Linked DNA regions of Macaca mulatta. The protein of the gene in region 5 purifies or fractionates together with the protein of the main gene of each other region. This does not show direct contact. Links are inferred from orthologs where the notes say so. Each region holds a gene or a part of one and is shown on either strand. Other genes may lie near its edges.

Evidence for each region. The genes of interacting proteins can lie anywhere in the genome.
Region 1: the proteins of VAPA (region 5) and OSBPL10 purify together in Homo sapiens (co-immunoprecipitation; 4 studies listed by BioGRID and IntAct, counting the BioPlex papers as one, with this or other methods). This does not show direct contact. The link is inferred for Macaca mulatta from reciprocal best matches to the Homo sapiens genes VAPA and OSBPL10.
Region 2: the proteins of VAPA (region 5) and VPS13C purify together in Homo sapiens (co-immunoprecipitation; 3 studies listed by BioGRID and IntAct, counting the BioPlex papers as one, with this or other methods). This does not show direct contact. The link is inferred for Macaca mulatta from reciprocal best matches to the Homo sapiens genes VAPA and VPS13C.
Region 3: the proteins of VAPA (region 5) and RMDN3 purify together in Homo sapiens (co-immunoprecipitation; 4 studies listed by BioGRID and IntAct, counting the BioPlex papers as one, with this or other methods). This does not show direct contact. The link is inferred for Macaca mulatta from reciprocal best matches to the Homo sapiens genes VAPA and RMDN3.
Region 4: the proteins of VAPA (region 5) and ZFPL1 purify together in Homo sapiens (co-immunoprecipitation; 3 studies listed by BioGRID and IntAct, counting the BioPlex papers as one, with this or other methods). This does not show direct contact. The link is inferred for Macaca mulatta from reciprocal best matches to the Homo sapiens genes VAPA and ZFPL1.

The regions. Positions count from the first base shown.
Region 1 is NC_133407.1:16,528,540-16,532,638, reverse strand, and holds the start of OSBPL10 (oxysterol-binding protein-related protein 10), read right to left. Parts: upstream 2,801-4,099; 5' UTR 2,584-2,800; coding exon of another isoform or gene 2,355-2,583; coding exon 2,074-2,354; intron 1-2,073. Other genes in the region: uncharacterized protein LOC114676224, read left to right, coding at 2,353-2,583, 2,801-3,077. UniProt on the Homo sapiens protein: Probable lipid transporter involved in lipid countertransport between the endoplasmic reticulum and the plasma membrane.
Region 2 is NC_133412.1:39,395,390-39,399,433, forward strand, and holds the start of VPS13C (intermembrane lipid transfer protein VPS13C), read right to left. Parts: upstream 2,801-4,044; 5' UTR 2,727-2,800; coding exon 2,627-2,726; intron 1-2,626. UniProt on the Homo sapiens protein: Mediates the transfer of lipids between membranes at organelle contact sites. Necessary for proper mitochondrial function and maintenance of mitochondrial transmembrane potential.
Region 3 is NC_133412.1:18,096,514-18,100,463, forward strand, and holds the start of RMDN3 (regulator of microtubule dynamics protein 3), read right to left. Parts: upstream 2,801-3,950; 5' UTR 2,791-2,800; exon of another isoform or gene 2,626-2,790; coding exon of another isoform or gene 2,594-2,625; intron 2,386-2,593; coding exon of another isoform or gene 2,379-2,385; coding exon 2,192-2,378; intron 1-2,191.
Region 4 is NC_133419.1:9,300,638-9,304,659, forward strand, and holds the start of ZFPL1 (zinc finger protein-like 1), read right to left. Parts: upstream 2,801-4,022; 5' UTR 2,644-2,800; intron 2,616-2,643; exon of another isoform or gene 2,506-2,615; intron 2,346-2,505; 5' UTR 2,325-2,345; coding exon 2,223-2,324; intron 1,913-2,222; coding exon 1,801-1,912; coding exon of another isoform or gene 1,713-1,800; intron 621-1,712; coding exon 427-620; intron 319-426; coding exon 246-318; intron 111-245; coding exon 1-110. Other genes in the region: CDCA5 (sororin), read left to right, coding at 3,042-3,087, 3,296-3,390, 3,469-3,534, 3,620-3,655. UniProt on the Homo sapiens protein: Required for cis-Golgi integrity and efficient ER to Golgi transport. Involved in the maintenance of the integrity of the cis-Golgi, possibly via its interaction with GOLGA2/GM130.
Region 5 is NC_133423.1:80,896,823-80,900,322, reverse strand, and holds part of VAPA (vesicle-associated membrane protein-associated protein A), read right to left. Parts: intron 2,600-3,500; coding exon 2,496-2,599; intron 1,444-2,495; coding exon 1,363-1,443; intron 1-1,362. UniProt on the Homo sapiens protein: Endoplasmic reticulum (ER)-anchored protein that mediates the formation of contact sites between the ER and endosomes via interaction with FFAT motif-containing proteins such as STARD3 or WDR44.

The DNA.
Region 1 (4,099 bases), on a different chromosome or scaffold from region 5:
AGTGTACATAATACAACATTTCACCTAGGTAGCCTGCGATCACATAGGTATTATTAATGGCATTAAATGTGCTTCTTCTCAACCTTGCCTCTAACCTAAACACCACAATGGGTTTAAAATAATGCAAAAGAATGTTACTCCAATGCCTCCTAAATCCACTCCAAAGAACAAATCCTTTAATACACATTGCAGGTAAAATATTGTTCCCCAGCAAGTAAATAATAAAATAACTGTAATCCAGGGTAAAAGTTCTGTTGGCCTCATAAGCTACTTGAAGAAAAAGCAATAAAAGTGATTGCTCAACACACCAACAAAATGCTGTTACTGACAAGGCACCGTGAGTTGCCATTAACAAGACATAATTACCAAGAACTGAAATCAGATTTAGTCATCTCACATCTCCCTGTACCTACGCATTCTACCTATTCTTTTCCAGCTTTCACAAATTGACACTAGGACTATTTTGAGAAATAAAAGGATTCAAAAGTTAAGTGCAACTTCCACTAACATAGTAACACACCTCCCAGGAAGCCCAGGTGACTCAGAAAGTCCTATATGTACAGTATCAATATAGAAACGACTCGGTTTCCATACTTCAAAAGTCCTCTTCCTCCAAGTTGAGTTTCGTGCAAATAACTGGCTGATACGTTTCAGATGGAAGCAAATCTGAACATTTCCAAACAATCTACAGGAAGAGATAACCAAGTAATATCGTCCATGCAACAGAGATAAGCAACGTTCCAGGATATGATTCAAATCTCACAAACATCCTTAAGAGCCCCAAGTCTATTAAGATCTGGAGACTATTAAATAGGCAGGACAAAATACCCCGCCAACCACCTCTCCAAAAAGCATTGCTCTCCTCGCACTGACACTTGTATTTCCCTCTGGCTTGCTTTTGAAAAACAAATTGAAAAAAAAAAACAAAAAGTAAACAGCAGTGCCACATCTGTTCTTGTCTTCCTCACGATGGCAGATCACACACACTACCACCATTCCAAGTGCCTCCTGAGCCCCTTTCCTCGACAGCCCCATCCTTCCACGTGTCCACAACTAGGCTTCTCAACTGTGCGGTGGAAGTGAGCACGAAACTTCAAAAGGGACCTGAAGAGGAAATAATGATAATAATGTAAATTGCTATTAATATTAAAATGGGCGAGGGTATTTTTTCTTTCTTTTTATTTTATTTATTTATTTTTTTTGAGTCGGAGTCTCGCACTGTCGGCCCCGCTAGATTGCAACGGCGCCATCTCGGCTCACTGCAACCTCCACATGCCGGGTTCAAGCGATTCTCCTGCCTCAGACTCCTGAGTAGCTGGAATTACAGGCGTGCGCCGCCACGCCCGGCTAATTTTTTGTATTTTTAGTAGAGACGGGGTTTCACCATGTTGGCCAGGCTGGTCTCGAACTCCTGATTTCGTGATCCGCCCGCCTTGGCCTCCCAAAGTACTGAGATTACAGGCGTGAACCACCGCGCCTGGCCTCTGTTTTCAAACAAAATTTCCGTTACAGACATCGGAGGTTGCAAGGTACAAACTGGGGCAGGAGTATGTACACTTGTCAAAGTGGCAGGATGTTTGTTGATGGTGGTGGTGTTCTGAAACACCAAACTTTAAAATGAACTATGGTATTTAGAGAATTACTGTAATCACAGCAGACCTGCTAACGCTTTTTCACCCAGGCACAAAGCACGCCCCTTCTGCCTCCCTTTCCCAGTCATTCCTCAGGGGTGCGGGAAACAACGGACAAGCAGAGCACGGGGACCAGCACGCTCCTCCTGCCACTCCAGTCTCTGCAGGTGCCAGCACAGAAGAAAACCTGGGCTCTCGCCTCCCTCCCTGCCACTGCGGTGCGGTCCCGGGGTGGAGACACGGCGCGCCCCATCCTGAGAACCCCACCTGGAGGGGAGCAGGGACACAGGAAGGGCACCGTTGGGAGGCATCACCCGGTTCGCTGGAGGCACAATCGCGCGCGCGCGTACACACATACACACACACATGCACACACACACACGCGCACACACACACACACACACACAGCGGCGCGCGGTGGCGCGGGCGGCTGGCAGGTTACCTGTTCTGCCAGCCCTGGAGGAGGTTGGTGTATTTGCTGAGCACGCCCTCGAGCGCCGGCTCCCTCCTGCGGCCGCCTCCCCCGGACGGGCTAGCGGCCACAGAGCCCGGGCTGCTGCGGCTGCCCCCGCCGCCGAGCCCGGCCGCCGCAGACCGGCTGGAGACCCCCCGGCCCGCCAGAGAGCAGGAGGGCGAGGAGCCCGCCGAGGTAGCACGGCTGCTGCTGCGGCTGCTGCTGTTGCTACCCCCGCCGCCGTCTGTGCCCTGGGTTGCCCTCTCCATGGTCCGTGCGCGCCCGGGACGCGGGTGCCCGCCGCTGTGGCGGCCCCGGCACGGCTGCTGCTGCTGCTGCTACAGCTCCGGGCGCCCGGGCCGCGCGTGGCTGCTCCAAATCCCCGGGAAATGCCTGACTCATACAGGAGGAAGAGGAGGAGGCGGCGAAGGAGAGCTGGGAAGGAAGCCAACGGGGCTGGATGCAGCTGCGGCCGCCCCTCCTCCCGCCGCGGCCAGGGCCCGGCCCCTCCCTCCGCACTAGTTTCCCGGGCAAGTTCGGAGCGGGTGGCCGGCTAAGCGAGCCCTCTTCGGGTTCTTCCTTCTCTTCCTTCGTGTCCCTGCGGCCTCTTAGGCCCTGGGGACACTCTAGGAGGCCGATCTGCAAGGTGGGCACGCCCTAAATCCACGCCGAGTCACCCACGCATTCCTTCTACCACCCTCTCTTGGATCCGAAGGGGCGAAAGGGAATCTCTGCGCGTCACTCCCCACCCCCTATCCACCTCGGGACGTGGAGGGAGGGGCAGCCCCACCCACCCGGTCCACCCGGATATGGACCCGCCCGGCCTGACAGGCTCACACGCGCACTCCCTCCCTCGGTCTTCCGCACACGATCCTGCGCCAGACGCTCCTACACAGTAACCTGGAAATTGTCACCGGCGGAGCAAAATCACAGGGCAGGGAGGCCCTCCGCGTTGTCTGGCGGAGGAGGGGAGTGGCAGGTGATCCTCACAGGTAAGCTCGCCGCGCATTTTCATAAAGCAGGATTATGATAAATGCTTAACAGACACAGGACTGGGCTGGGGTGAGGCGCGCGAACTCTCAGGTTTGTGCGAGTGCCTCCTTAAATTGAGTGTCCTAGGTCACTCACTGGCCTAACCCTGATCCCCTGCCCTGAATGACACGCATAAACCTGGCAAGTCAAAACTTATCCATTGTTATCACACTGCACGTGCACCTGGTAACAGAGGCTCTGAAACCGGGAAAACTGCTCCGGAGGCAAGGGAAATTAACAGATATTTACAAACATTGAAGGATTCTCTGTGTTGGCTGTAACTTCTGCGCCCCTCTTCCTACCTGAAGATATCTTTCTACCGCACTAATAATTTTTGTGAATATAGATACCCATTACAATCTGAAGTATCAAAAATTACCTAGAAAAAATCTTTGAGGAACTCGGACTGTCTCTCTCTCTCTCTCTCTCACACACACACACACACACACACACACACACAAAACAAAAGGTGATGATGATAGGTGATCTCCGTCCAAAGGATCTACAAACCCATCAAGCAGATAAATACTTCAACAGTTTTAAAAAATTACTAAATGGAAGACTCAGCTCTTAAAGGAACAGTTCCCCCAGCCTGACCCCTTTGTAGCTTCACATCCTTCCAGGAAGATTTCATGGGTGGTTTAGCTCTAGAGATTTTCACGGAGTTGTTTCTGGAGCCGAAGGCAAGTGGTTGTGTCCCTGAGTAAATTACAATTCCAGGCGCCTACATAGTGTTTAAAGAAAAAAAAAAAATCTGAAAAAGAGATTGCCTGGACCAACTTTGAAGCCATTCAAGCTGAATTCTAACCTATGACTTTGATTAAATTACCTTTTTTAGCCTTAGTCTTCTCACTTGCAAAATGGGACAAATGATACTGGCTGTGATAAACTAGGCAAGAATGTTCATTTGTTCAAAATATTTGCTGGCGCTTCCTATGGAAGGAGTATCCTTCCTCCACGTGGACCTCAGGCTTGGCCATGG
Region 2 (4,044 bases), on a different chromosome or scaffold from region 5:
TCTCCTTTTCTAGATTTCACCAAAAAAAAAGACAAAAGAGGAAATAATATAAAATTACAACATTTTTAATTTCAGTTGTGAAAAACTTCAAAATCTTCATGCAGTATACTCCTCAATGTCATTGTAAAACCATTATTAGAAGAACAGGATATTGGCATCACCTTAGAGATGTTACCTACTCCAACCTCCAATTTTAAAGATAAAGGAGAATAACATTTGATGGCAAAGGAACCTTTGACTATATCCATACATTTTATCTTCTGAAAAAGAAAATGTCTAAAGTAAATATGCCATAATATAATATTAAAATATGAGTAATTACATGAAAATATATTATTTAAACTTTTATTTAAAATATTATTTAAAATATATTTAAAATATTATTATATTTAAACTTTTCAGAATTTAAAATATTTTTTCTATAAAAGTTTAAATTAAGATGAAGAAACTAAGGCCCAATAAGGTAAGTGGCTTGTCCAACACAGCACACCATTCACTAGGCCTATTCAGATTTCAGATTTGCTACTCCAGTGCATTTTCGAATTTCAAATGTTTACAAACTATAAGGAATTACTGGAAATGATATTGCCAGTATTCTGAAGAAACACTTCATTTCTGCAGAAGGTGCTGGTCATTTAATTCCTTAAATCTCTTTCTTTACTTCCCTTTCTTTTACATTGCATTGAGTGTGGTGGGGGGATGTAAACAAAGTATGTACAGTAGGCCCTCTATATTCACGGATTGAACCAACTACAGACCAACTGCAGATCAAAAATATTTGGGAAAAAAATTAAAAATATCAATTTGGCAATAAAAATAATGCAAATTAAAAAACAACAGAACAACTATGTACATAGCATTTACTTGTATTGGGTATTATAAGTAATCCAGAGATGACCTAAAGTATACAGAAGGATGTGCATAGGGTACATACAAATACTAGGCCATTTTATTTAAGAGACTTGAGCAACCTCCGATTTTGGTATGGTCAGGGGTACTGAAACCAATCCCCCATAGATACCAAGGGACTATTGTATTGTTGGGCAAACCACAGTGAACCAATCAAATGATCAGCCACCTATTAAAAACAGGCTCTTGGCCAGGCACTACAGGTCACACTTGTAATCCTAGCACTTCGGGAGGCTGAGGCAGGAGAATCACTTGAGCCCAGGAGTTGCAGGCTGCAGTGAGCTATGATCTTGCCACTGCACTCCAGCCTTGGCAACAGAGCAAGACCCTGTCTCAAAAAGACAACCAAAAAAAAAAAAAACCAGGCTCTTCCGCAATTCAGGGTATCACTCACGGTTCTATAAACAGCAATGCCCACTATATGTTCCATATATGTAATTATAAATTTTAGAAGCCAGGTTTAAAAAGAAAAAAAGTAAAACTAAAAAACACAGGAAATACATTTTAATATTATATTTAATTTAACTCAATATATTCAAATATTATTTCAACACATAAGCAACATAAAAATTAGAGGTATTATATTTTTTCTCCTACTTCTTTAGGAGTAATACTTATTCAAAACGATGTTTTAATTCATGCTAACAGCACGTTTCAATTAGCACTAACCTCATATCACGTGCTCAACAGCTACAGTGGCTAGTGGTTACCCTAGTGGACAGGGGAAGTCTATAGCTCTTTGTTGCTGCTTGAATTAAAAGCAGATCCATACGTTTGAGTCGTTTTTTGAATCTTCCTCCAAAGCTGACAAACTTCCCACATCTTTTGTGGAGTGAGAAAGTCCCAAAGTCCTCAAAGCTTAACACATAATTCATGCAAACGATTAAGCTTGTTGAAGAGTGCATGTTTAAGTACACTATTTATTGAATACTTATATACACTTAATCTCCAGGATAAAAACTTTGGCATAAATTCCTGGGCATACAACCAAGCAGGCACCTAATTAATGACGATGCTGGTCGAGGCTTGAATTTCTCTCTATTGCTCCAAAACAAAATTCAAAATCCTCTTCGTATTGACGGAAAAGTAAATATTAAAGGAAGGAATAATTTTCACAGGAGCTGAAAGCATTGTGAGTAAGAATCCCTAAGCACACGCCTTTCTTAAAGATCTGCCTATTCCTCTCCAAACCCGGTAATCCTAAAGAGAAGGCACCCGGTTCCTGCTCCCTGTAAAATGATAGTGAAGATAACTGCGAAATGCAATTTCCTTCTTCTTTTTCCTTAGTACCACTTCGAGCGTATATGACCAGACAACCATGCTCACTCCACGCGCTACCGAAACAGAAAGGGCTGTCTTTATGCTGTAGGGCCAAACGGGCCACGCTGAGTGCAGCGAGAGGACCACAGAGACGGGCAGGGCGGGGACAGCAGGCGCAGGGCAGGCACAGCAGGGCCAGGGCTTGGCCTCGGAGGACTAGAAAGGTGGGAACTTTGGCAGCGCCGGCGGGATCCCACCGCATCTCCCCAGCCGGGGTCGGGACTGGGACCCCGAGAATCCGCGGGCGGCAGAGGCTCCCACGTAGAGCACCTGCCGCACCGGGAAGGGGGAGTCTCGGGCGGCGGAGGGAGCAGGGCCCGGGCAGGATCCCGGACGGAGCAGCCCTCGGCTGGGCCCTCAGCGCCCGCAGCCCGCCGGCCGCGCCCCTCTCGCTTACCGCCCCAGATGCCCAGCTTCAGCTGGGACTTGTTCAGGTTCTCCACATAGTCCCCCAGGAAGCGGTTCAGCAAGTCCGCGACCACCGACTCCAGCACCATGGTGGGGCTGAGGCAGCTTGGGAGGGAGGAGCCGGAACCACCCGGCCGCAGCTAAGGGCGGCGACCAGCGCTACGAATGACAGCCCCTCCGGCGCCGGCCCACCCCCGCGCCGCGCGCGTGACCCCGCCTGTGCGCAGGCGCGCCGTCGCCCGGCCGGTAGCTGCGGAGGCCCTGTGGTGATCCCGAGGCCTTGTGGGCTTCGCAGCCCCGGCCTTCTGGGTGCCGAAGGAGGCGCGCAGGGGAAGTTAGCTTGAGCCTGTCTCGGCAGCCGTGCACGAGAGAAAAAGGACCTTCGAGATGAACAAGGGAGGGCAAGAGTTACCAAGCACAGGGTCATCTATGTGGCCGCTCTGCTTTCCCGCCTCCCGGCTCTGTCCGGAGCCGCCGGGCCGGGAGTGTGCGCTGAGCGTCACCTAGGCAACCACCCTTGCACCTCTGGATCAGGTGGAGGAAAAGGACCGACTGCGTTCTTGTCCTCCTAGAGTTCGACTCCGCCTGGGGCTTGGTCTCTGCTTCTTGAAAACACACAGGTTTTTTGTTTTGTTTTTTCGAGACAGGGTCTCGCTCTGTTGCCAAGGGTGGAATGCAGTGGCGGAATCATAGCTCACTACAGACTTGACATCCTGAACTCAAGGGATCCTCCTGTCTCAGCCTCCTGAGTAGCTGGGACCACTGGCGCGCGACAAATAATTTAAAAGTGGGAGGAAGGGAACAGAACCACATCAAATGGCAGATATCATAGAATGAGAACTGAATATACGCGTTTTGTGGGAAACTCATTCTTTTCTCTTTCTCTAAGATTCGCTTTTAATTCACTAGCCACTGACTAGTTACCTATCTCATTACAGAAATAAAAAACAAAACGTAGTAGTGCCTTTTTAAGTATGAGTTACTTGTTATTTATGTGTCACTTTCTTCCATGCTATCGTTGAACTGTCTTTGATGTAGCACGACCTTAAAAGCAGAGCTTTTATACCACAAGGTCTTTCAACCCTTGTGAAATTTAACCACCCATTGACACCTCTTTAGAGAACTGGACATTTTTTCCTAAAATATACTTCCAGAAGTTGTTGAGATGCAGTAAACAGAAAGAAACCTAAGAAATGCTGACTATTTGTAGTCACAAGCATTTATTAAGTGTTTTGCGACGAGGAAGTGTCTGAGAAAATACTCGTGTATTTTTCTTTAACAACCTAGGCTTGCACAGGATCACAAAGAAAAATCTTAAGTTGAAGGTCCACTGGAGAAGAAAGAAAATCAAAATGGCTACAATTGGTGTTGTGTATTAAATAAAATTTAAGGTACAAAGAAAGACGC
Region 3 (3,950 bases), on a different chromosome or scaffold from region 5:
ATGCTTGCCCAAGTGTGGAATCTGAAGGAGGACAGCTGTCCTGCTAGAGTAAAAAAAAACCTTTACCTCACCGTATAGTGCCCAATACCAGGGAGTCAAAACCAACCACACAGCAAAACTAAAACTAAAACTAAAACTGAGCTCCATCACATTCTGATCTCTCACTTCACAAACGATAGTAGGGAAAACTTGGGAGTTTCTCCCAGAACTTCATTTAGTGTATCAGAGAAGGACTAGGAGAAAGGGGGCAGTTGCTAAGAGAAGAGGTACACCAGAAAAAGCCCATCCAAACCGCCTCAGAAACACACCATTACTAAGCCCTGCTGACCCAACCCTAGGCCTCACTCTTTTGAGTAAATTCCAGCAGTGAAATGGTAGCAAAGTGACAGCCACCTATGGTAACTGGACTGAAAAATGCAAAAACAAAAAGGAAACCAGAGAGGCAGGACCCCACAATATGGCAAGCATAAATCCCTTCTTTAAGGAAATCTGGTTAAAAAAAAAAAAAAAAACTAGGCCAGGCCACAACACACATCCAATAATGCTCAAGAATGTAGAGCAATAAAGATCTCTGGGAATGTGGCCACTTCTAATCTCAGAAGAAAGACTACTGCGAAGCAATTAACAAACAAAATACAAGGGAAGGAAGCACACTGCAATACTAGATTACCACCAGATTATAAAGTGCTGACAATCAGTTGCAATCTAAGGTGATAGCTCTTTGAAGACTCCTCCAGAACTAACTTTTCCAAACCATCTAACACTGGCAATCAGAGAAAACACTCACTTCCAATTAGCGTGGGAGTGAGATAATGTAAACGCTCCTCTTGGCCAGGTGTGGTGGCTCACGCCTGTAATCCCAGCACTTTAGGAGGCCGAGGCCAGGAGTTCGAGACCAGCCTGGCCAACATGGGGAAACCCCATCTTTACTAAAAATACAAAAATTAGCTGGGCATGGTGGCGCACACCTGTGATCCCAGCTACTTGGGAGGCTGAGGCATAAGAATCACTTGAACCCAGGGAGGTGGAAGTTGCAGTAAGCCAAGATCATGCCACTGTACTCCAGCCTGGGCAACAGAGTGAGACTCCATCTCAAAAAAAAAAAAAAAAAAAAAAAAAGAAAAGAAAAGAAAAAAACACTCCTCTTGCACAAATATGGTAGTAGTTTGAACCAGCCCTAGATCCTTTGCTCAAATGAATTAACAAATCTGCAAATTTGAAAGAACTACTCATTTCAGCTGTGCGGGCTGCCAGCCACATTCAGCTTCAATTGCATTAAGCGTGCTCCTAGCCCTATGCCCTAGAAACTCCACTGGACCAGGTGACCAGGCCCAACAGGCCCAACCTTGCCACTTAATCTGTGACAGCCTCAGGAAAGTTACACAGTCTTTTTGAATCTTGGTTTCCTCATAGGAGGGATTAAAAAACAAAACAAACAAACAAAAAAACTTGAATGAGATAGTTTCCAAGTTGTCTCCAAATTCAAATATATGATTTAATACATAAGCCTGAAGACTTTTAATCCCTACAAGATTATTCTTTTTGCCCTCTTTTGGATTCTCTCTACTTATTACACACCTCACCCAACACTAAGCAAGTGCCTTTAACACCCACATAGCACTAGTGTGGCCAGAACTAAAAGTGAAAGCTAAGCAGCTAAGCAGTCTTTTTGAAATATACTTGCTTGGGAATACAGGGTAAAGAGTAGAAAAAACCATGACTGCCTTTTTTTTTTTTTTTTTTGAGACGGAGTCCCACTCTGTCGCCCAGGCTGGAGTGCAGTGGTGAAACCTCAGCTCACTGCAACCTCTGCCTATTGGGTTCAAGCGATTCTCGTGCCTCGGCCTCCCCAGTAGCTGGGACTACAGGCCGCGCCATCACGCCCGGCTAATTTTTGTATTTTTGGTAGAGATAAGGTTTCACCATGTTGACATCTGGTTGAATGTTGGTCAGGCCAGTGTTGAACTCCTGACCTCAGGTGATCCGCCCGCTTAGGCCTCCCAAAGTGCTGGGATTACAGGCGTGAGCCACCGCGCCCGGCCCGACGACTGCTTTTTCAACAAGCTTCCAAAAAAGTGAAACCCTAAGGCGCTTCTCTACGTTGCCCTGTCCCACAATCTCCACCAAAAGCAGCCTAGACCCCAGGCCCATCAGTCTGCAGTGACCGCGGTCTCAGGAGACGGGCTCCTACCCTGGCGTCCGGTCTCTGAAGTCTGCGTATAGTCCAGGGAGTTGGGCAGGCTCTGGCTGCGGCCATGGCGCTGGGTCCGTTTCCATCGCTGGCTGTAAAGGAGGCACAGGAATCCAAGGCCGGCGGCGGTACCCAGCAACAGTCCCAGCCCGGCACGGGCACCACCCAGGGCTCCCAGTCTAGACATGCTGCACCTGCGGCCAGCAGAAGCCACCGGGAGCAGGCGGGCGGCCGGGCGGGCGTAGGGAGAGAGAGAGATTCGTGAGTCTGGTAAACCCACCCCCAAGGCAGAACCCCGGCAGGTACCCCCTTGCCCAAACCCTGAGCTCCTGACTACCTGCATCCCAGTCTGAACCCTAAGGCTTCCTCCAGCCCCCTGGGCCCCACTGCCGCTCCCCTCACCCAGCCTGGACATAGCCACCCCTCCAGCACATCCTCCGATCCGGGTCACAGAGTACGGCTTCTGGGCCTTCAACCCTCCACCTCAGCCTCACAACACTGCAGACCACAAACCCGCCGCCCTGGCTGCAAACTCCCGGCCTTCCCCTGCGGCCCAGGAACGCGCTCTGGCCTGGCAGGAGACCCACTCAAAACCTTACCCGGCCGCCAGCCACCATGGCAGCAGCCGCCGCGGGCTCACGCTGTCAGTGACCGTGACGTCAGACAGACGGCGCCAGCGGCTCGGCGCCCTGAGGGAAGGCGCACGGAGATGACCACGCCGGCCCCACCCCCGGCCTGTTTCCCTCAGGAGCGAGGCCACGGGCGCCGGCGGAGGGGCGGAGTCAGCACAGCGCAAAAGGAAAGCAAAAAGGGTCCGAAGGCTGAGGAAAGGCGGGAAAGCGGGGAGACTTCTTGGGCGGACGCTGGCGCAGTCACCCTCACCGTCCGGCATCCAGGCCTCCATTTCCCTCCGGTCACACCGGCTTACTTGCTGCTCCCGGAATACGCTCAGCATATTCACACTTTCTCCCTGCGCTTCTGCCCGGACCTCCCCTCTGTACCTGGAAAACGTCACCCTCTCCCCACATTTTATTTTTATTTTGTAGAGACTGGGTCCCGCTCTCCTGGTCTCCAGCGATCCGCCTGCCTCGGCCTCCCAAAGTGCGTGAGCCGCCGCACCCGGCCATAAACCTTAAACCTAACGTACCGTTTTATAATTCTATTTTACTCTTGTAATTGTATGCAACTTCTAATTTTGGCAACTAAAAAGACCGATTTTATGGACTACGATGACGATTGTATTGTGAATATTTCTTAAGAGTTAAAATTTTCTTTAGTGATAGAAGAAAGTTCTAGGCCAGTTCTCCCAATACCCTTGACTAGATCTTATATTTCTTTACGCTTTAATTGTGAGTTACTGTATACATATAAGAATACAGGAGGCCTGCGGTGGTGGCATGTGACTGTAGTCCCACATGCCCTGGGGGCTGAGATGGGAGGATCACTTGAGCCCAGGGTGTGGAGGCTGCAATGAGCCATGAGCACTCTGGGCAACGGAAGTCAGGATTTCGAGGCCACCCTGGCCAACCTGGCGAAACCCCGTTGTTAGGCAGGAATCTAGACCCAACATGGCAGCGTTACCCGGCGTAGCAGGCCTTTTGTTAAAGACTCCCTTCACCCTTGTACACACCCTCAGACTTACATGCGTCAGAGTTCCGGCTGGGCAGTCACACGCCCAGTGACCTGCAGCTCACGTGCATTCCACAAGTTCGTCAACAGCAATTTCCGTCGACAGTTTCCAAAGACCCCTTCCTCATGA
Region 4 (4,022 bases), on a different chromosome or scaffold from region 5:
TGTGTGCTGCTCGGGCCGGCCTGGGGAAGCCGGGGGCCGGGGGGCCTGGCTGTAGAAGGCTGGGGCAGCAGAGGCGCTGTCTACCTCCTCTGGTCCAGGGGTACTGCTGGCTGTGGGCGGAAAGAGAGCCATCAGCAGAAGTAGTGGGTAGAGCTCAGGGGTAGAGCATGTGACTGTAGACCAATGGAGCTGTCAGCAGAGCAGGGAGGCTAAAGCCCAGACAGTCGGTGGAAGCCACCACTTACCATTAAAGCTAGACCAGTCAGAGAAGTCAGACGTGTTGAGGGGCTCGGGCTCTGGGCTCACCACCTCATCGATCTGGAGGAGGGAATCTGGGTCACCAGGCTGCCTAGTACTGTCCCCACCCATCTGGCTCAGGTGGGGCCCAGGGCAGATGGATGGTCAGACAGACAGAGGGACTCTCACCAGAGGGAGGCCCAGTCCTGCCCGGGCCCAGTTGACCGTGGCCAGCTTCTCTCTCAGTGCGGAGGCCACAGGGCCAGCCAGGTTGGTTGGGGGGAAGATGGGGCCATTGCAGCTGGGGCACTGGTAGCCGGCAGGTGCCGTGTTTCGGGGTAGCTGGGCAGCACGTTCATTGAGGCAGGCCCAGTGAAAGAGATCTTAGGGCCCATGAGACAGGGGAGAAGAGACATGAGGAAGAAGACACTTAGGGCTCCTAGCCTAGCAATAGCCCCCAAACCATTGCAGGACATATGGACACACGTGTGTGCCAGAGCCTTCTCCTCCCCGTCCTGTTCCCTAAAACATCAGTCTTCTTGGCTATCACCATCTAAGTCCAGGCAGTGCTACCAAGCTGTCCAGCTCACAGGGGTAAGTTTGGGTGGGAAGAAACGCCACCTCTCCTTTCAGTGAGTCCTCTCTGGGCCTGCACTCATCATACTCTTTGGGCTAATGGCTAATAATGAACAGTTTCAGAAAAGGTTCCTTGATATACACACAGGCACACATATGCATGTACACATCCCTGGGCACACATGTACATATGCTTTATAAGCACATAATCAAACACAAGTAGCATTCACTATATCTACACTATGGGCACAGGAGCCCTCACACATACACATCTATACACTCACAGGTTTGCTAACACTCAGGCACATTCAACCATGCATTCTCTTGTACTCCCACAACACACCTGTGTTCATATGTTTACGTACATACATTACCCATTCATTCACCCCCAAGTACTAATCAACACACTAACACTCATTTAAACACACAGTGTACATTAAGTGCCTGCAAGTACACACACGCACTCATAAGGAAAAACACATATGGAGCTGCCTCTTGCATGAGCTCCTTCAAAAACTGGAGCTAAGGCTCTTACTCCAGATTCAGGTCAAAGTCATGACACATATGTCTGCTGACTTCTTTTAGCTAACTTTAATGTGGGAAACTCACTTCCTCTCTGTTTAGACTTGGAATCAGTGGTGGATCCTGAATATCTGAAAGCGACATGCCGGTCTGGCTAGCTGATAGTCACGGCCACCAGCATACACATAAGCTTGACTGGCTCTCGCTCAAACCTCCAGATTGGCAGGTCTGAATTTTTAGGAAAGAGGAACTAGGAGCTTTAATTTTTAGGAAAGACAGTGAGGCCTAGAAAGGAAGAATAACTTGCCTGAACTTACAGAGCAGGTAAGGAACTTTAATATGACTAGAATCTGGGTTCTGAGACTTGGGGGACTCACTGTCCTGCTGCTTGAGGAGGGCCTGGAAACCAGTCACCAAGCTGGTCCCTGAGGCTGGCCTGATCCCCCCGAGGTGCCAAGGCCTCACCATAGCAGACAAGGCGGGTCGTCTCTCGGCTGGCCAGGGGTATGTTGCACAGGCGGCAATTGGGGTTGTAGTCGCTATCTTGGAGCCATTGCAGGTAGGACTGGACGATGCACTGGAGTGGGAGAGAGATGTCACAACTGGTGCTGGGGCTGCTCGGCCTATCACCCCAAGGTCTGACAGTCTCTTTTTCTCTAGTCACAGAGGAGACTCATCCTTTTGTTTGTTCAATCAATATTTATTGAGCACATACTGTGCGCCAGACTCTCTCTTGGGGGCGGGGGATATATCAGTGAACAAAATAAACCAAGTCCTTGCCCTTGTGGGGCTTACATTCTAGCGCGGGGACCCTCATTGATTTGGAGGAAGCCAATACCGCCTTGCCCACCCAGTGCCCTGCTCAGTCGCTCCCCTGAAGGCCCCACCTTGGCGTGATTGGCTACCAGGCAGTGCTCGCAGACGTTGACCCGGTGTTCGAAGCAGAACAGGTTGGTCACCTTTCTCTTGGGGCACTTACAAAGCCCCATGATCGATCCTGGGAAAGGGACCTGAGTTGGTAGGAAGCCAGGTTCTGGTGGCCACCACTACGCTCTCACCAGCCCAGTTTCCACTCTTAACTCCCCCAGACACTCTCTTATTCGCCCCGACCCAAGATTTCTGCCCACTGTTCCTCCTTATGCGGGGAAACACTCCCTGCATAAATCCCACCTCCGGCGACCCCTCAATCCTTCTGGATCCCGCCCCCGGCCAGGCCCCTCCATCAGCGACTCCCCGATACCACCGGCCCCGCCCCCAAGGCCTCCCCTGAGCCCCACCCCCTCCAAGCCCCGCCCCTTCTCTACAGACCCCAGTCTCTGTGTTTACTGATCGGCCGCTGCACCAGTTCCGAAGGGCGGCAGCGATGCTTCGAGGCGAGGAAGGGCAGGGACCACGCTCTCCAAGGATCTTGCTCCGCTCCCTTCAGCCCCGGCCGCCCCGATTATCCCTCCGCTGCCACGTCTCTTCCGGGTGCGGCGCGCCCTGATGACGCCATCGCACCCCTGGGCCACGCCTCCGCTGACGCTAGACGTGAAGACCGGTGGAAAAGAGAGGGGGCCCGGGCGCCGCGGACCTCTGTCCCTACGTCACTTCCGCTTCCTTCTCCGCAGGGCGGGTAATTCGAAAGTTTTTTGCAGCGAGTGGCCTTCCCCGTTGGCGCGCGCCCGGGGCGGCGGCGCTGGAGGAGCTCGAGACCGAGCTTAGTTATGTCTGGGAGGCGAACGCGGTCCGGAGGAGCCGCTCAGCGCTCCGGTGAGCGGAGGGCGCGCGGGAGACGTGAGGTCGAGCCGTTTGGGGGACGCAGTCCTGTGAAAGATTGCCCTTCCCTCCCGCTGCTGCCTCCAGAGGAGGCGCCCTTAGAAGGGCTTGTTTGGGAATTTTCTCGCTGTCTCTAGAACCTGTTCTCTGGACTCTAAGGTCTAGAGTCCTCCTCTACCACTTAACTTTTTTCTCTTTCCAGGGCCAAGGGCCCCATCTCCTACTAAGCCTCTGCGGAGGTCCCAGCGGAAATCAGGCTCTGAACTCCCGAGCATCCTCCCTGAAATCTGGCCGAAGGTGAGCCCCAGGTTTCTCACTTCCTCCCCTTGTGGCCCCTCACCTAATGTTGAGCTCACGTTCATCCCTCTTCTCCAGACACCCAGTGCGGCTGCAATCAGAAAGCCCATCGTTTTAAAGAGGATCGTGGCCCATGCTGTAGAGGTAAAGGCTAAGGAGGGTGTTGTGGGTGAGTAGGCGGGCGAAACTGGGGGCCAGCTATGAGATCAATTGGTATTGTACCCCGCAGGTCCCAGCTGTCCAGTCACCTCGCAGGAGCCCTAGGGTGAGTTCACTTTCATCTACTTAATTAAGTAGAATCTGGGTCACTCTAGAGGTGGACAGCACACATTGGCTGCTCACATCTGCCCAGGGAGCTGTTTTGCAGTACTACAAAAACAGTTTGCCTTTGGGCACCTGCATGCATTGCCAGTCTTGAGTACTCCCTGAAGACTTAATACACTTAACTTTTTATGCCTTGTGTATTTCTACCATTTTCCTGGAACTTCATGTAAAAACTGAGCGATGTCTTAACTCCACATACTGCCTTTCTAATCCATTTTGCCTTTAGCTTTCATTTATGGGTGTTCTAAGATAAGTCATGTGTATGACATTTTTACAGTTTTAGCACAAGCTATTGTCAAAGGATGTTT
Region 5 (3,500 bases):
TAAATCGCTGGGTTCAACTGTCATTACTGTATCAGTAATGGTTTGGTTTCCAAACCAGTGAGAGCTACTCTTAATCAGCAGTATCAAATACCTGCGGTCTCAATCCTTTTCACACACCTCAAAGTGTGTGCTATCCAGAGCACAGCAGAAGCCCAGATAGAAGACAGATTTATGCTGACTGAATTACTGTAAAAAATGACATAAAACTCTAAGTGAGAAAATATCCAAATGTTTTTTTAAAAAGTCAATCCAGACAATACGCTGTTTTGTTTTCTTGATTTCAACAGTAAGAGCTGTGCAAGCTATTAGCTTCCCTCAGCCTAAGCCAAAAAAGAAAACCTCTAAATGGGAAGCATACACAGACCATCTAACACTCACTTTACAGAGAATATACGTGTTCACATTTTTTTGCTTTTGGCAAATACCTCAAAAATCACTTAAAAGAGGTATTTTAAAAATTCAAAAACTAATTTGGTCAACACCTAATTGCCAGAGACCTTTTCATTTCTGCTTATCCTGAAAGAGAAACACAGTAACTGAGCCCACGTATTTAATCTGCATGTTTACTTTTCAATAGAGCAAATTGCCACCAGATTAAGGCAGTAGTCATGTCAGACTGTAACCAAATCGTGCCAAACAATTCTATTTATCCATATTATTGTATGTATTAAGTCACATACACACACAGAAAAACTTATCTTTCAAGTCTCTCTTACCATAGGGAAAGATTCAAATTTGCAACCCAGACAGGGAAAAGGACAAGGTAAGTGACTATAATCCACTCTGTACATTCACCGACTACTATTTGTTTGTTTTTAAATAAACACATATATCCCTCAGTCCCCCAAATTGTATTTGACCTACACTAATGAGTAAGCAGCATAACAATTATTTACTAAAGAATGCAATCAGATGGATTTGACTAAAAACAAAAGTGAGCAAAATACCTGGGAATAGCTAAACCTGGAATAAACTGTCCATGTAAGTGAATTTTTTATCCCCAAACTGCTGGTACATAATGGCCAAAAAGCAATTTATATGTATTTTTAAATTATGTATACATGTCTCATTCTAAAAAAGAACCTGTAGTGGTTTACGCCACAAAAATCTGCTATACTTAAAGGATTCTTCTCCAGGATGTAGTCTAGACCTAAAAGTGAGTCTTTCTTTCTTCTTGGATAAACAAAATGTTATTTTTTAAAAAAAAAAAAGTATACCAAGTTTTTTAAAACTTAACCACTGAGTCTTATGACATGAAAGAGCCATAACACACATACCTCAAAGGTCAAAAATAGAAGCAAAATTAATCAAAGGAACTGAGCGCTCAACAGCTTCAATTTTTTTTTACATTTTCCTACTTACCAATTTGTCATTTTCATTAGGCATTTCAAATACACATCTCAATTTGGAATCCATTAATTCATCAGGTTTTGCCTCTTTCCACTAAAAAATAAACAAAACCAAAAATGAGACATAGGAGGTATGATCATGGTAAGTAAGTGTGACCTCATGGGACAGCTAAAAGATGAGTGTAGCTGCCTGGCTTGGCTGAAATACACTGGTGCCCTCTTCACTGATCACCCTGCCATTGTTACTGGCTAATGTCACAGAATATATAATCCTAGAGTTACTATCACCATCCATTAAAATCACGATGATATCACTAGCAACCACAGGACTTTCTTCTTAAGAGCAGCATTTCTTTCTTTTTTCTCTTTTTCCAGTTGGTCTCATTCTGTCTCCTAGGCTGGAGTGCAGTGGCCACTCCTGGGCTCAAGCAAGCCTCCTGGGTAGCTGGGACTACAGGCATCTGTTGGTTTTTTTACTTGTTGGGTTTTGTTTTTTTTTTTTTTTTAATCGTAGAGACAGGGTCTTGTCATGTCGCCTGGGCTGGTCTTGAACTCCTGGGCTTGAGATACTCCCATCTTAGCCTCCCAAAGGGCTGGGATTACAGGTGTGAGCCACTGCACTAGGCCAGTAGCAGCATTTCTAAATTGTTTCTAAAAAAAAAAAAAAATACTATTTAAAAATTCTTGGCCGGGCGCGGTGGCTCACGCCTGTAATCCCAGCACTTTGGGAGGCCAAGGCGGGCGGATCACAAGGTCAGGAGATCGAGACGATGGTGAAACCCCGTCTCTACTAAAAATAGAAAAAATTAGCCGGGCACAGTGGCGGGCGCCTGTAGTCCCAGCTACTCGGGAGGCTGAGGCAGGAGAATGGCGTGAACCCGGGAGGCGGAGCTTGCAGTGAGCCGAGATTGCGCCACTGCACTCCAGCCTGGGTGACAGAGCGAGACTTCGTCTCAAAAAAAGAAAAAAAAAAAAAAAATTCTTTCATTCTGTAAGTTAGGATTATCTACAATGAAGATATTGGCACTTTTTTAAAAATCTAAATTTAACTTTTAGTTTTTAGAAATTAAGTTTTTCTACTGACTGCTGAACAAAACCCACAGTTTAAACTCCACTCCCCAAAATAAATTCTTCTTCTGTACTTACCACAGCTTCCATATCTGAAGTGTTTGGTGGAGCAAAAATTGTCTGTACCATAAACTTGTGTTTACTCTTTTCATTCGGATCATAGTCAAAGGGCTGTAGCATTACTAAATAAGAAAAAAAGGATATATTATATTGTCTCCTGCATGTTTGAAAGACATACATTGAAACAGTTACAGATTAAATTATACCAAGTCCGGGATTTGCCTTAAACAGTATCTGGCCATAGTATCATTCCCATTACTTCACAAATATGCAAATTTAAAGAAAACCAAGAAGGGTTCAAGAAACCAAACACCAGAATGTTTAAGAATCCAGAATCAACTTAATGGATCCCAAGTATTTTCAAATTGTCTGCCTTTCTAATTTACTAAGTTTTCCACAACCAACAAAATAAACAATTGCAATTAAAAATTAAATATGAATCTATGATTTTGCCCTTTCTAAACTCAGCTTGTGAAAATTTTCAAAACTTTGCCAGTGTTAACTATAATGCCTATAAGTTCAGATAAAATCTACTAAGTTATTAAAACTCGTTATGAATTTAGGCTTCATTTTAGTGTTTTCTGATTTAAAATTATATAGCTGGCATATTTAAAGGAGAAATAGTAACTTAAAACCTCACTACCATCTATTTTTTGCTTTTTAAAACTGAGTCTTACTCTGTCGTGAGGCTGCAGTGCAGTGGCGCCATCTCTGCTCACTGTAGCCTCAACCTCCCTGGGCTCATTTTGTAGAGAAAGGGTTTTCGCCATTTTGCCCAGGCTGGTATCAAATTCCTGGGCTCAAGAGATCCGCCTTCCTCAGCCTCCCAAAGTGCTAGGAATAAATGCGTTAGCCGCAGTGCCCAGCCCATATATTAATATAATTAATTTTTCAAAAATGTATTTTAAATAAACATCTATTTCAGTTTATGAATTTATTTCAATCTTCTAAGAAAACAAAAGTACACAAGGAAACCATATAGCCTCTTGATTTCTAAAATATATTCTACAGTCTCAATAACAT